Linked DNA regions of Arabidopsis thaliana. The protein of the gene in region 1 interacts with the protein of each later gene in a pairwise test. Each region holds a gene or a part of one and is shown on either strand. Other genes may lie near its edges.

Region 1 (6,923 bases):
GTGATTAAACAGTTTCTGATCCCAAACGAATCAGAATCAAATGTCAAACAACTTTCGGCCACACAAAAAACAAACCTTTTATAAATGTTACAATGAAGAAGAAGAATTAAAAGAGCAAATTGGACTATACCCACAAACACAAAGTGTCGATTCGATTCTACGGTATTCATCAAGAGATGAGCCAATTATAGAATACAATACCTTCTTCAAAAAGTAGAAAGCTGTAAACAACTTGAGCAGAGAATCTCAGAGATTAAAAGCTATGTCTTTTTTTCTCTCTTTTGAATTTTTAGGGTTTTAAAACTCAATCGAGAAACGAAGATTCATAATTTGCCAAAGTAGTTTTTTTTTTTCTTCTTCGTCCACCTGAAGAAAAATCTAGACACGCGTTGACTGTTAGAATAAAGTCGATAACTTCAATTGAAATAAGATTTGTGTACGCTTTTTCATACGACGCGTGTACCATCAGCAAGACAACAACGCCTATACCTCAAGGAGATTTGAAAGTTTCATACTTTGATACAATTAGAACGGCTATAATTTTCTCTCTTTCTTTTGCCCACTAGAACAGACTGTATTTCCAAAGATGTGTGCTCAATGGATATAGTTGACTTTTTCAAATTTGACTTGAATTATAAGAGAAACATTTGGGCTTGAGACTAATAAGCCCATATATAAAACAAAATTATAGGCCCAGTTAAAGAGCGGTCTGATATCAAAAACGCCGTCGTAGAGAAGCATACCTCAGTCGTCTTCAAGGGTTTCGACTTTTGTGCGGTAGCCATTAACGTTGTTGCAGAGGAAAGCTGGAAAATAGAGAGTTCGATGAACTCTTGTTACTATAATGGAGGCTCAGGAGTTTGAAAACCGAGAGATTTCCCCCGGTTCGAGGTTCCTGATTGAGAATCAGATCAGAAGTAGCTCAATATGTTGACAACTACCACCGATGAGGAAATAGACTTGTCCTGCGACGGAGGTGTCACGGAGCCTCAAAAAGTTGCTATAATCTTCGCGTTTTGTGGTGTAGGATACCAAGGAATGCAAAAGAATCCCGGCGCGAAAACCATTGAAGGCGAGCTCGAAGAAGCTTTGTTTCATGCCGGAGCTGTACCGGAGTCCATTAGAGGCAAGCCAAAACTATACGATTTCGCACGATCTGCACGGACAGATAAAGGAGTTAGTGCTGTTGGACAAGTAGTTTCAGGTCGCTTTATCGTTGATCCACTTGGATTCGTGAATCGTCTCAATTCAAATCTCCCTAATCAGATTAGAATCTTCGGTTACAAGCATGTAACGCCGTCGTTTAGCTCCAAGAAGTTTTGCGATCGAAGAAGGTATGTGTATCTGCTTCCAGTGTTTGCTCTTGATCCAATCTCGCATCGTGATAGAGAAACAGTAATGGCTAGTTTGGGTCCGGGAGAGGAATATGTTAAGTGCTTTGAGTGCTCAGAGAGAGGTCGTAAGATTCCTCCAGGTCTTGTGGGTAAATGGAAAGGTACCAACTTTGGGACTAAATCATTGGATTTTCAGTCAGACATTTCGTCGAACAACTCTAGTGCATTAAGAAGTGACATCAAGATTGAAGCTTTGAGTTCTAATTTAGCTGGCTTATGCTCAGTAGATGTTGAAGTAGGTAGGATACAAGAAGACAGTTGTAAATTGAATACAAATTCATCAGAGACTAAGGTAAAGAGCAAGTTTTGTTATGGTGAAAAGGAAAAGGAAAGGTTCAGTAGAATACTAAGTTGTTATGTTGGATCATATAATTTCCATAACTTCACTACAAGAACAAAAGCAGATGATCCGACTGCGAATCGTCAAATCATCTCCTTCACTGCTAATACTGTGATTAATCTTGATGGGATTGACTTTATCAAGTGTGAAGTCTTAGGCAAAAGCTTTATGCTTCATCAGATTCGGAAGATGATGGGTCTTGCTGTTGCAATCATGCGGAATTGTGCTTCTGAATCACTTATCCAAAGTGCTTTCAGCAAGTAAGCTTCTCCTTTTTCTTTGGTTTTGAAGCTTTGCAATGTCTATAGTTTTGTTTGTTTTGATACTCAGTTCGGAAATTATGTAACCAGGGATGTGAATATAACTGTACCAATGGCGCCAGAAGTTGGACTTTATCTGGACGAATGCTTCTTCACGTCTTATAACAGAAACTTTGAAGACAGTCATGAAGAAGTGTCCATGGAAGCATACAAAGAAGAAGCTGAAGCATTCAAATTGAAGCATATCTATTCTCATATCGGCGCTACAGAGCGAAAATACGGAAATATGGCTCTTTGGTTACATTCCTTGAACTATAGAAACTATCCAGACCTAAACTTTGGCAGCTGTGGACAAAACACAGACCAAGTTCTTGTTCATAAGAAAATTGATGAAAGAGCAAGTCATAGTCTCTAAGCAAAATGATGGAAGCTTAGTTTGAAGATTTTGACATTGTTTTTGTTATTGTTGGTTAATCCCACCATTTTTGTAACTTTTTAATCAAATTAGTATATTTTTGTGTTGTAAGGTGACACTAATGAATTGATTTGTTATCCTCCAACGTCGTCGTCATATAAAAGATTTTCTTTATTTATGGAAGAGAGAAGAATCTTATTTGAACAAATGTTTATCGAATAAGAATCGGTAAAAAATGATTATAAGGAAGAAACGTGGAACCGAATCTACAGGCAGAGGGACGTGACGTTACATATGAGCAGAACCATATATAAAATCCCTAATCGCACGTCAACCTCTCCGAAGCATAAGGCCCATAACTTTTTCTATTTAATTTTCTTGTCATTTTTACTATTTTAATTGTTATTTAGGGTAAATAAAATGTCAGACTTCGATTGACCCAATGAGTTTTAGGGTGTGACTCCTATCTCCGTCTGCACTAATAAGTACTACTTTAACTTTCGCTTACCAATGCATGTCAATACTCAACAGTGACATATTTTTAATTTTCAGAGGTTTTTCAATGCCCAAAAACTTTGATATATAAAGATCGTACGAGTTTTAAATTCCTCACCTAAAAATTGTCAAGTATCATTAGTGTATAAAGTGCATAGATCGTGTTACAAATTCTTCACTTTCGCTCTTATTTTTTGAATACTCACTATATATATAACACTAAAATAAAAGTGAAAGAATCTAATATGCTAAACCGGTAAAGAAAAAAAGCAAGACAGTCCGATTTTTAGATATTATCGATGTTTTCATATAAATTAGACTTAAGAAATTTCAAAAATAAAATAATGATTGATTATGTTGGAAAGAAATAGATGTGACCATATTTCGACTGCTCGTAAGCATAAAAACTAAAGTAGGTGGGGTGCAATAATTACTTTTTAATTAATACAGTGAAAAAGTAATTAATACAGTATTAGTAGTATCAGAAAAATTACAAAGCAACATCACTCAAAACGCCTCGAAAATAAAAACAATAATTTGAAAGCAAATATATACACAATTATAAAGTTTAAAATTTTAAATTTCCTTATATCTATGTGGTATGTATTAAAACTCACAAAAAGAAAGAAAATGACAAATCCTCACGTCCGTTACTTTTAAATCCGTAGCAAAAATAAATAATTTAATTTTCTATCTCTATATCTCTCTGATTTAATCACAAATCTTATCTTGAATCGTTATCTTTCTCTTCTTTCCTTAAACCAAAACCCAAAAAAGAGAGACCAGACAAAAAAAAAAAAACTCCCCAACAAAAAAAAGATATCTGTCTCTACTAAAAGTCTCTCTATAGCGATGTCATCGGACAACGAATCGACACCGTCTCAAGCGACGGTAGAAATGATGGCGACTTCGCCGGCGAAGATTAAAGAGTATCCAGAACCATTGGCTTTACATGAAGTTGTCGTCAAGGATTCTTCTGTCTTCTGGGATACTCTCAGGCGGTTTCACTCAATTATGTCCACTAAGTTCATGTAACCATTATTCTTTCTCTTCTTCTTACTTAATAAATTTAGTTTTCGTCATTTCATCTATCTTATTTTATTATTTTTGTGTGATATAAACAAGGATTCCTGTGATTGGAGGAAAAGAACTAGATTTGCATGTTTTGTATGTGGAAGTCACGAGGAGGGGAGGTTACGAAAAGGTCAACACTTTTTGTTTTCTTTTTCAATACAGATATTTTTTTACTTTATGGTAATTTATTATCGTTTCTTATATGTTGTGTTGTTTTGAAAATGCATGTTGAATTGATAGGTAGTCGTAGAGAAAAAATGGAGGGAAGTTGGAGGAGTGTTTAGATTCTCTGCGACAACAACAAGTGCTTCGTTTGTCTTAAGGAAACATTATCTCAATCTTCTCTTCCATTACGAACAAGTTCATCTCTTCACTGCTCGTGGTCCTCTTCTTCATCCCATAGGTTTGTTTTTTTTTCTCAAACCTTCTTCAATTGATTACTTTTAAATATATATAGTATACATTTCATTATATTCTTCAATTATCATAGATTTGTTTCTGTTGAGAATCTTTAATTCAACCGTTTGATAAATGCTAATCAATGAATCATAAGATGGTTCCCATATTGTCTTTAATGCCCTAGGACTAGAAAGTTCAATTCGTTGTTACTCATTAACGATAGTCTGAAAGGCTTGAATCTATAATAAAATAATAAGAATAACTTTTCAATTATGTGAAGTCATGGGTTCAATCGTGGGACACATTCTTACTACAAACGTGGGAGTTCAACGATTGTATATACCCGAATTATTGTCATCATTTCTATCTATATGGTTATTGTAATTTTGTTTATGTCTTGGAACTATAAGTTATTTAGCGACGATTATTTATGTTACATATAAGATAATCAATTTTTGCAGCTACATTTCATGCAAATCCCTCAACGAGCAAAGAAATGGCGCTCGTCGAATATACTCCTCCGAGTATAAGATATCATAATACTCATCCTCCTTCTCAAGGTTCGTACGTATTATCAATATCTAGTATATACTTGTCTTTGTTCTATGCTTTATATCATCATTTTATGACAAAAAATGATTAAGGTCTTAGTTAATGATTATGTATATGTGAAACTTATATTTAGGGGCACAGTTTAATTTCGTATGATAATTGTCTAGTTAGCTTTATGTACTTATCATAAAAACCTTAGTGTTTATCGCAATACTTTTCAAATATAGTGTAGAATCATAATGGTCCCACTGTCATTATGTTTGATGCAAATCTATTTGGATTTTGTTGGATAATAAACCGATGACGTGGACCAGACCAGTAGCTATAAGATTTGGTTCACATAGAAATTTTTTATAAGATAATGTATCTAGGTTTGCTTATGATTATACATGTGATATTTAATACATGGCACAGGTTCGTCGAGTTTCACAGCCATAGGTACAATAGAAGGCAAATTCGATTGTGGTTATCTGGTAAAAGTTAAGTTGGGCTCAGAGATTCTTAACGGCGTTCTTTATCATTCGGCCCAGCCCGGCCCATCATCATCTCCAACCGCTGTTCTAAACAATGCCGTTGTACCTTATGTTGAAACTGGGAGGAGACGGCGTCGTTTAGGTAAAAGACGAAGAAGCAGACGCAGAGAAGATCCGAATTACCCGAAACCGAACCGGAGCGGTTACAATTTCTTCTTTGCTGAGAAACATTGCAAGCTCAAATCACTTTATCCCAACAAGGAGAGAGAGTTTACGAAACTTATCGGAGAATCGTGGAGCAATCTCTCTACCGAAGAACGAATGGTAACAAATTATCTTTTAAACCGTTACCGATTTAGTGATGAAATTAGATTTGTAGTAAATCGATAACTGAACCGAGTTTTGGTTATTGCTTGTAGGTTTATCAAGACATTGGATTGAAGGATAAGGAAAGGTATCAGAGGGAGTTGAATGAGTACAGAGAAACGTTGAGACTTAGGGATGGTGACATGACAAACGGCAAGGCTTTTTAGGTGATTTAGTTAAAACGGCAAGTCGTTTTGTTGTAGGTCGTTTCTCTCTTTTAAGATTGGACGCCTCGCCGTTTCTTTTATTTTCTAGCTTATTGTAGTTGTCCATGCTTGCTTAACTAGGCTCAGTGAGAGGCTAGACTTGCCAAACTTGAAGAGTCTTTATTTATTTAAGAATTTTAGATGTTCTAATGTATTAATCCTTTTTCGTAAACCTTTCCTGTTAAACAAGAGGTTTATGTTGCATGTTAAAAAAGAGGTTTAGGTTATATTAGCAATTTAGCATTCGATTCGTTGGTTAGTAACTAAGTAATATAAATACCACAAGAACAAGAAATACTAATGAAAACTTGGAATGTTCAAAGTCTCCTTATCTACTTATGCAACGTTAGACAAAGCTATCAAACAATGCCACGTCACCTCACAAAACATCTAGGGTAACCAATCACATGCAGATAACTCTCTCGCTTTATTTTCTCTTCAAATCTTATCAAAAATCCCATAATGTTTTCATTTCTTTACAAGTGATCAACAAAACACCCCAAAAAGTAAAGAAAATGGCCGCAATTACATCAGCTACCGTCACCATCCCTTCTTTCACCGGCCTAAAGCTCGCCGTCAGCTCAAAACCTAAGACATTATCCACCATCAGTAGATCCACTTCCGCCACCAGGGCGCCACCTAAGCTCGCTTTGAAGTCCTCTTTGAAGGATTTCGGTGTCATCGCAGTGGCAACAGCAGCTTCGATCGTTTTAGCTGGAAATGCGATGGCCATGGAGGTTCTTTTAGGATCCGACGACGGTTCCCTTGCTTTCGTACCATCTGAATTCACGGTGGCTAAAGGAGAGAAGATCGTGTTCAAGAACAACGCAGGGTTCCCACATAACGTGGTGTTCGACGAAGACGAGATCCCTAGTGGTGTGGACGCAAGCAAGATCTCGATGGATGAGACAGCGCTTCTAAATGGTGCAGGGGAGACTTACGAGGTTAC
Region 2 (6,923 bases), on another chromosome or scaffold:
ACTTCGATACCAAATCTATATAAAGATGATATGAAAACAAGTTGAATATTTGGAATCACTAACGACCGAAGCTGGATCAAAAATCCGGTTAATTTCATATATCTTTTTGTAAATTTAGTATCAAACAAAATAAAACAAAAAAAAACAAAAAAGCTTTAAAAAATCCGAATAAGAAACTTTGATACCAAATATATATAAAGATGATATGAAAACAAGTTGAATATTTGAAATCACTAACGACCGAAGCTGGATCCAAAATCCGGTTAGTTTTTATTTACATCTCTTTATGTAGATTCAGTATAAAAATAAATAAAATTAAACATAAAAAAAATCTTTTAAAAGTAAAAATCTTTTATTACAGAAAAAGAAAATTAGGAAAGCACAAACCTTGGTTCTCGCTGGTGATCATGATTATGGATCGATCGATGAAACACAAATTCGTCTGCTTCCTCCGCAGTCGAATTGTAGTTTTAAAGCCAAAGAATCTGCCAACTGGTCGTCAATTTCACTATCCCTCTCTTGGCCATCGTCCTTCTCCGTCGTGTAATCATATCCTTCGCCGCCGTTGAAAGAATCCTTGGGTGAAAGCGTTTCGGTGGCGAGATCTTTGATCGTGTGAAATTAGGGAGTCACGAACTAAAAAGTGAACTCGATTGATTGAAGATTGTTGTCACGAGAGAAGGAAAGCACATCAGTGATCAGTCTCGCAGGGAAATTGCAGGTAAAAAAAGAAAGAAGAAGAAGAAGAAGAAGAAGAAGAAGAAGATCAAAGATGGTATTTTGGTTTTTGATTTCTCAACGAAGAAGAAGAAACGAGAGTTGGAGTATTTATCAGCAAACGCTCCATTGAAAAAAAAGGAAATTGTCTCCTTTATTATGTTTTGCGAAGAAAAGGAAATTGATCAAGGTAACAAAAAGTCAAATTAAGTTACCGTTACAAGAATAAATATGTTTCTTCTGTAATTTATATGATGTTTAAAATTTAGAGCGATTGTTGAAAGAGATGGAAACATCAACAAAACAAGCCTTGTAAAGTAACACAAATCTATAAAAGTCAAACCTAGTCATCTATTAGCATAATGCTCGGAACAGAATGAAAAATATGCCACTAGCACAATCTTACTCAATCATATATAGTTGTTCTTACTATTTTTATTTGTTATTGCTCTGAGTAGAGCGAGAGAGTAGAGTCCACTTTCATTTTCAGTCGTAATCGTTTCTTTGATTTTCAACACACATTGTAATTATTAGTTAATATTTATGTTAATTTGATTAGAAGTTTTTAATACATGTCAAGATCTAATAAATCAAATATATACCTAATATAGTTACCAAAAAGAAAAGTTAAGAAAAAATATATATATATATATATATATATATATATTCATGATTAGTATATATAAATATACTTTAAAAAAATAGTTTTTCTATTTCGAGAATTATATATATATATATATATATATCCCTTATTTCTATTTTATATATAGGTTTTATTATTAAAGAACCCTAGTCGTGTATTTTCTTAACAACAATTTAGCTACATGTAAACCGCCGCTATGGAGTCCAATATAGGAACACCGGACGAGACGTCAAAGCATCCTCCACGGCCTCCGTCTTCGTTTTTATCACTACCGGAGGATATTGTTTTGAGCAGCTTGGCTCGTATCGATATCGTACTACCCAAAGCTCTCTCTTGTCTCCAAGAGCTTCCGCTCGTTGGTCCTCTCAGACTTACTCTATGAGGTACGAAGCGAACTTCAAACTCAAGAAGAATGTGTTTATCTCGGCCTACAACCGCCCAACAAACGTTGTCCCATCTGGTTTAGTCTCTGGATAAAACCTGATGATCAAACCCTTAACCAATATTGCAACATTCAAGAAAAGTCTACTAGAAATTTATTGGTACCAGTTCCATCTTCCTATACTCCTTTCCCACCAAATTTAATATGCGCAGAGGTTGGCTCAGAAATTTACACGGTCGGCAGCCATATATATCATGCGATGTGGGTCCATAATGAGCTGACTGGCAACGGTCGTAAAGCCCCTAGCATGATGGTGGGTCGCATGGAACCCCATGTATGCGTTCTCGGTGAGAAAATATATGTAATGGGAGGTTGTCGACCAGATGAATCAACGAATTGGGCTGAGGTTTTCGACCCAAAGACTCAAACTTGGGAACCTTTACCGGACCCTGGCCCCTGAGGTCCGGCTCTCTTTAAATAAAAAGATCTTACCGATGGATGGAAATATTTGTGTGACGATCAAGAAGAAGAATGTGGAGAGCAAGAAGAAGAAGAAGAATGTAGAGAGCAAGAACAAGAAGAAGGACTTCGTTTACCTTTTAAAAGAAAAAAAATGGGAAGTTGTCAAGGATCACTCAAGCTTGGTGGAGAAATATTGTGTCATAGAGAATGTAGAATACACTTATGCGGATAAAAGATGTTGGTGGATGGAAACAACGTCGTCAGAAGAGTCGTCAGAAGAGTGGAGATTGGTCAACGGTTTGACTGGACTTGATGCGTACGTTATAAATGATACTGAATTTTGTACTTATGGTGGAAAGCTTCTACTCTTTTGGGACAGTCCTGCCTTGTCTCCTCTTGATCAAACCAAGAAAATTTGGTGTGCTGTGATTTTGCTTGACAAGAGTCTCAATGATGAAGTTTCGGGTCAGATTGAGTGGGCTGATGTTGTTCTTACAGTCCCTGTGTCCTATACACTCTGGGATTGTGTGAAATTCTCGACATACTCAACAATATGCTTTCCAGTTTTGTTTTTCAATACACAAACACACACCTAGTCTGGTGTTTTTTAATCCAAAAGTTATGATACTACATTGTATTAGTTTACGATTTTATTTTTAAAAAGTTCACAGTTTTTAGTGTTGGAGCTCTGTTTTCTCAAAGTGGTGCCAGGCACTGTTTGACTAAAATTTCGGCTAATCCCTTACGGAATGTCATTGATTCATATCGATTTCAAATACGTATCCAGATCTTCTTCATCTGTTACAGTGTATAGATATCAATACAACAAATACCTGAAATTAAATTCAAAGAAAAAGAAACTAAGATTAAAAGAGGATTGGTTGACAAAATAAATTTAAAATCATAATGTGAGATAAATATAGAAACAACAATACTAAAAAACGAAAACAACAAGTTGGTTTGGATTCATGATTACAAACCCCAACTTATAAAAAAAAGACTATAATTCGACAGAAATAAGTTCAAGAGAAGGGTTTGTGATCCCAAAACCCTTGATGATGGAATTGTGAAGAACCATCATAAACCCTATAAGACTCACTGTTATTGTTATTAGTAATAATGTTATCCTCATAGGAGACACAAGAAGGGTGTTCAAGCAAATCCTCCACTCTCCAACCCGGTAATGTCTCCATCAAATACTCGGATATACTACCTGTACAACCCGATCCCGACCCCGAATCGCTCACGTGATGGTAGTTTTCTTCTATCCCATAATAGCAATTGCTCGTGGTCGTCGAAGAAGAGCTCGTAAATACCTCATTGGAGGCCGAGCTCGGGACCTCGCTCGATACTGATTTTGGTCGGGTTTTGGCTCGACCAAATGCAGCAGCAGAGTTGGAATTGGAGGCTCTTGGGTAGGCTGACGGGGAGGCAGAGATCTTAACGCCGGTAAGGAGGAATCTATTGTGTTTCTTAGTGTGCTCATTAGCTTGATGTATTGGAATGTCACATTCTCTGCATAGTATTGCTCTGTCTTCTTGGCAAAATAATAATGCACGCCTCTCCTGTCATATGTATAAAGGTTTAGTACCATTTAATAATAGATAATCAAGAAGACTCTTGTTTTGTATCCATCTATTTTAAAACATACTTATCTGCTAGATTTGACCTTTTCAAACAAAAAACATTCCATTTTATTGTTTTATTTTATTTAATGAACAGCAAAAAGAAATATCCTTTTCTCCACGGCTTACCTTCCCAAAGAAGAAAGTATTTTAATATCGTAATAACTAATAACTCGATTTAATTGGTTAATATCTTAAGTTTGATTAGTGTGTAACCAAATAAATCACCAAGGTGTTTGGTAAGCTCAATCTCTGTTCTCTTTTTGAGAAAAGTAATATTTGGTCGTGGCCATAAAATTCCTCGTCAAAAATTGTGTGAAACCTCAAATTTGCTAGGAAAGGAAGTAAACTTGTTGCCAAATAATCATTTTCTCACCAACCAACAAACAAATCTCGGAAAGAAAGAAGAAAAAAAAAGTGACTCAGGTCACCCGAAACATCCGTTCATGAAACCAGATTTCCATCAATACTATAACATATCTAAAAGCTCACAAATTTTCCAAGTGAAGATTATAATTCTATCAAGAAAGGCAAAAAAAAAGAGAGAAGTGTTAAATTTTGTTGTTACGTACCCCGCAAATATCACAAAGAGGAGCATCTTTGAAAGTAGGAGAAGTGAGAGAGAACCGGAGATGTTTCCCGGCTAGTTTATTGGCGAAATGAACATGGCGATCGCAACCATTACAAAGAGCTGCTTCATCCGCACAACAAAACACCGAAGCTTCTTCTTTATCACAAACAGCACACCAAATCTTCATCTTTCTATTTTCTTTCCTCTCTGTATTACAAAAATAACTTTATTTTTTATTGTTTCTTGAATATAACAAAATTGCTTCTTCTCACTCTCTCCCTCAACTTGTACCTTTGGACCAGTACTATATAGTAGTGTTTATGTAGAGACACTCATGTGGGTGAGTGTATGTAGAGGTTGATGGGGTATAAGTGTGGGCAAAAGGGTAAGAATAATGTGTTGGCTTTATAGATAAGCAGCTTAGGTTTCCTTTGTCTTTTTTAACTCCTTCCTCTCATTTTCTTGATTTGATAGCTACTCTCTCCTTTGCTTTCAATGCCCCCAAATTGACTTGTTTTGGTTTTGGTTTCACACCCGGTTTGATCTGGTTTAGAATTCAGGGAACTTAAACAAAAGCATACCGGGTATGTAAGTCAATTAGTATACGTTTTAATCACAAATTACATTAAATTTCGGTTTCATAGAAGGAGGCAGATATTATAATTGATAGGAACTTGACGGTAGTACTAGTATGATTAAGTTAGTTAATTTTTGTTTCATTTAATAACACTGAGAACTATTAATTGGTAGTTAAGCTCATTTGTTTCTTTAGTTTAAATGAGTCTTAAACTCTTAATGCTTTAGAAAAATATTATGTAATTTATACGAATGTAAGGAAAAACAAAAATGATGAATCAGTTTAATTGTTTCTTTTATATTACCGAAATAGGTAAAGAGGCCTAGAAGTGGGAACTTTTAAGGCTCTTATGGAAGAAAAAGTGCAAAAGTGGAATTTAATAGTACAATCTTTTTGGTCTAAAATTCATCTTTTTAGTCAGATGCTAGTTAATCTAATTAATAGAAACGACAAAAAAATCGAAATAAAAACTAATTAAAGAAATGGAAAAGGTGGGGGAACTTTGAGAAATGGCCAGCTCTTCATGCCAGCTTTTGTCTTCCATCATCCATGTGTATATCTACTTCCTTTTTTTTTTTTTTTTACCTCAATAAATAAATATCGCCGCTCTTTTTTTTTATATAGATTTTATGTGTATTAGTTGAACAAATAGTATAAATTATTGAATGGCAAATCCATTTTCCAATCTTCTTCATACACTCAACAAACACTGCCATGTATTTGATATTGGTTTCGGTATAAACCTAACCAACCATAGCTTATTTAAAAACCATAGCTTTATGAACTTCAATTTATTCTTACAGATTTTGGTTCAGTTTCTATTCCGGTGGTTTGTATCGGTTCTGTCTAACTTGATTGAAAATGGTACAATATGCTGTAATCGTTATAAAGTGGCCTTAATGACCGTTGAGAATTGAGATTTAGACATGATCTAATTGTATTAACAGGCTAGACATGATCATCGCTTGTTCATGTATCTTTTTAATGAATGAAATTTCTTAAATGTTCTCGTAGTAATCCCAATAACCAAACATACTCGTATTAATATAAGCTTTGCGGTCATGTCGGCCATATTGTTCGAATTTAAATGAGTTTTTTTTTGGTATAATAAACGCTGAATACTTTTGATATAAAATAAGTAGAGTGGATCTGATCTTTTGAAGAATAATAATTTTAGATAATATATAATTTATGAGGAAGAAGACGACAAAAAACACTTTTAGAGGAAGAAGATATGGATGATCTCTCTCGATTCTCGAATCTTTCCCCTCGTTACTTATTTTTTTTTTGTCAACTTCCCTTCTTGCATTAAAAATCTATACATTCATTTTGACTGACTCTTTGAAGAAAATTTTTAAGAATTTTTGAGTTTGGGTTTCAACGAAGTAACTTCGTCAGGACTTGGTACTAAAAAACGATATTGTTGATCTCATTTTTTTTTTTTTTTATCCAAGCTGCTGCGTGGAATCATATCGTCTTTTGGTTTGCATTTGATGTACATAAAGAAAAACAAACAAACCAGGTAACAAATCGTTTTCAAAGAAAAAAAAGAAAAGGTTCTTTGCGTGATTTTAAAAGAGATCAAATTTTTTATATAATATTTGTAGATCTTGAGTCACATGGATGTACTACTGGACTTTTTGAAAAGGTTCTTCGTGCACTTTTTAGACATTCCTTCTTATAAAATAGTATGCATGGGACCTTTACCAATTAACTACTACCATCAATTATTCATCGATGGACTCCAATTAATTTCAAATTTGTTTCCATATTTTTGTGTAACCTAACAAAATCCAATCATTCATCGATATATCACTGTCCTTGTTTTGTGTTAAATAATGCTAATTTGCTCTGCTAATTGACTATTCTTCGATTTCGATATCTATTTTCTTGTTACCAAGTTTAATCTCGAATTGTCACATTAATTTTCATATTTTTGATCAGTC

What was found.
Region 2: the proteins of AT1G76110 (region 1) and BZS1 interact in a two-hybrid assay, tested with the Arabidopsis thaliana proteins (one large-scale study listed by BioGRID).

Annotation. Positions count from the first base shown.
Region 1 is NC_003070.9:28,554,299-28,561,221, reverse strand, and holds AT1G76110 (HMG (high mobility group) box protein with ARID/BRIGHT DNA-binding domain-containing protein), read left to right. Parts: upstream 1-3,606; 5' UTR 3,607-3,756; coding exon 3,757-3,935; intron 3,936-4,029; coding exon 4,030-4,108; intron 4,109-4,218; coding exon 4,219-4,381; intron 4,382-4,838; coding exon 4,839-4,937; intron 4,938-5,343; coding exon 5,344-5,726; intron 5,727-5,821; coding exon 5,822-5,935; 3' UTR 5,936-6,188; downstream 6,189-6,923. Other genes in the region: AT1G76120 (Pseudouridine synthase family protein), read left to right, coding at 928-1,994, 2,085-2,409; PETE1 (plastocyanin 1), read left to right, coding at 6,382-6,923. UniProt on the Arabidopsis thaliana protein: Binds preferentially DNA with A/T-rich content. Required for karyogamy during female gametophyte development, when the two polar nuclei fuse to form the diploid central cell nucleus.
Region 2 is NC_003075.7:18,201,835-18,208,757, forward strand, and holds BZS1 (B-box zinc finger family protein), read right to left. Parts: upstream 4,851-6,923; 5' UTR 4,588-4,850; coding exon 4,402-4,587; intron 3,770-4,401; coding exon 3,227-3,769; 3' UTR 2,801-3,226; downstream 1-2,800. Other genes in the region: AT4G39060 (LOW protein: coatomer subunit alpha-1-like protein), read left to right, coding at 773-775, 1,538-1,820, 1,910-2,055, 2,126-2,800. UniProt on the Arabidopsis thaliana protein: Acts as a positive regulator of seedling photomorphogenesis. Plays a negative role in brassinosteroid responses.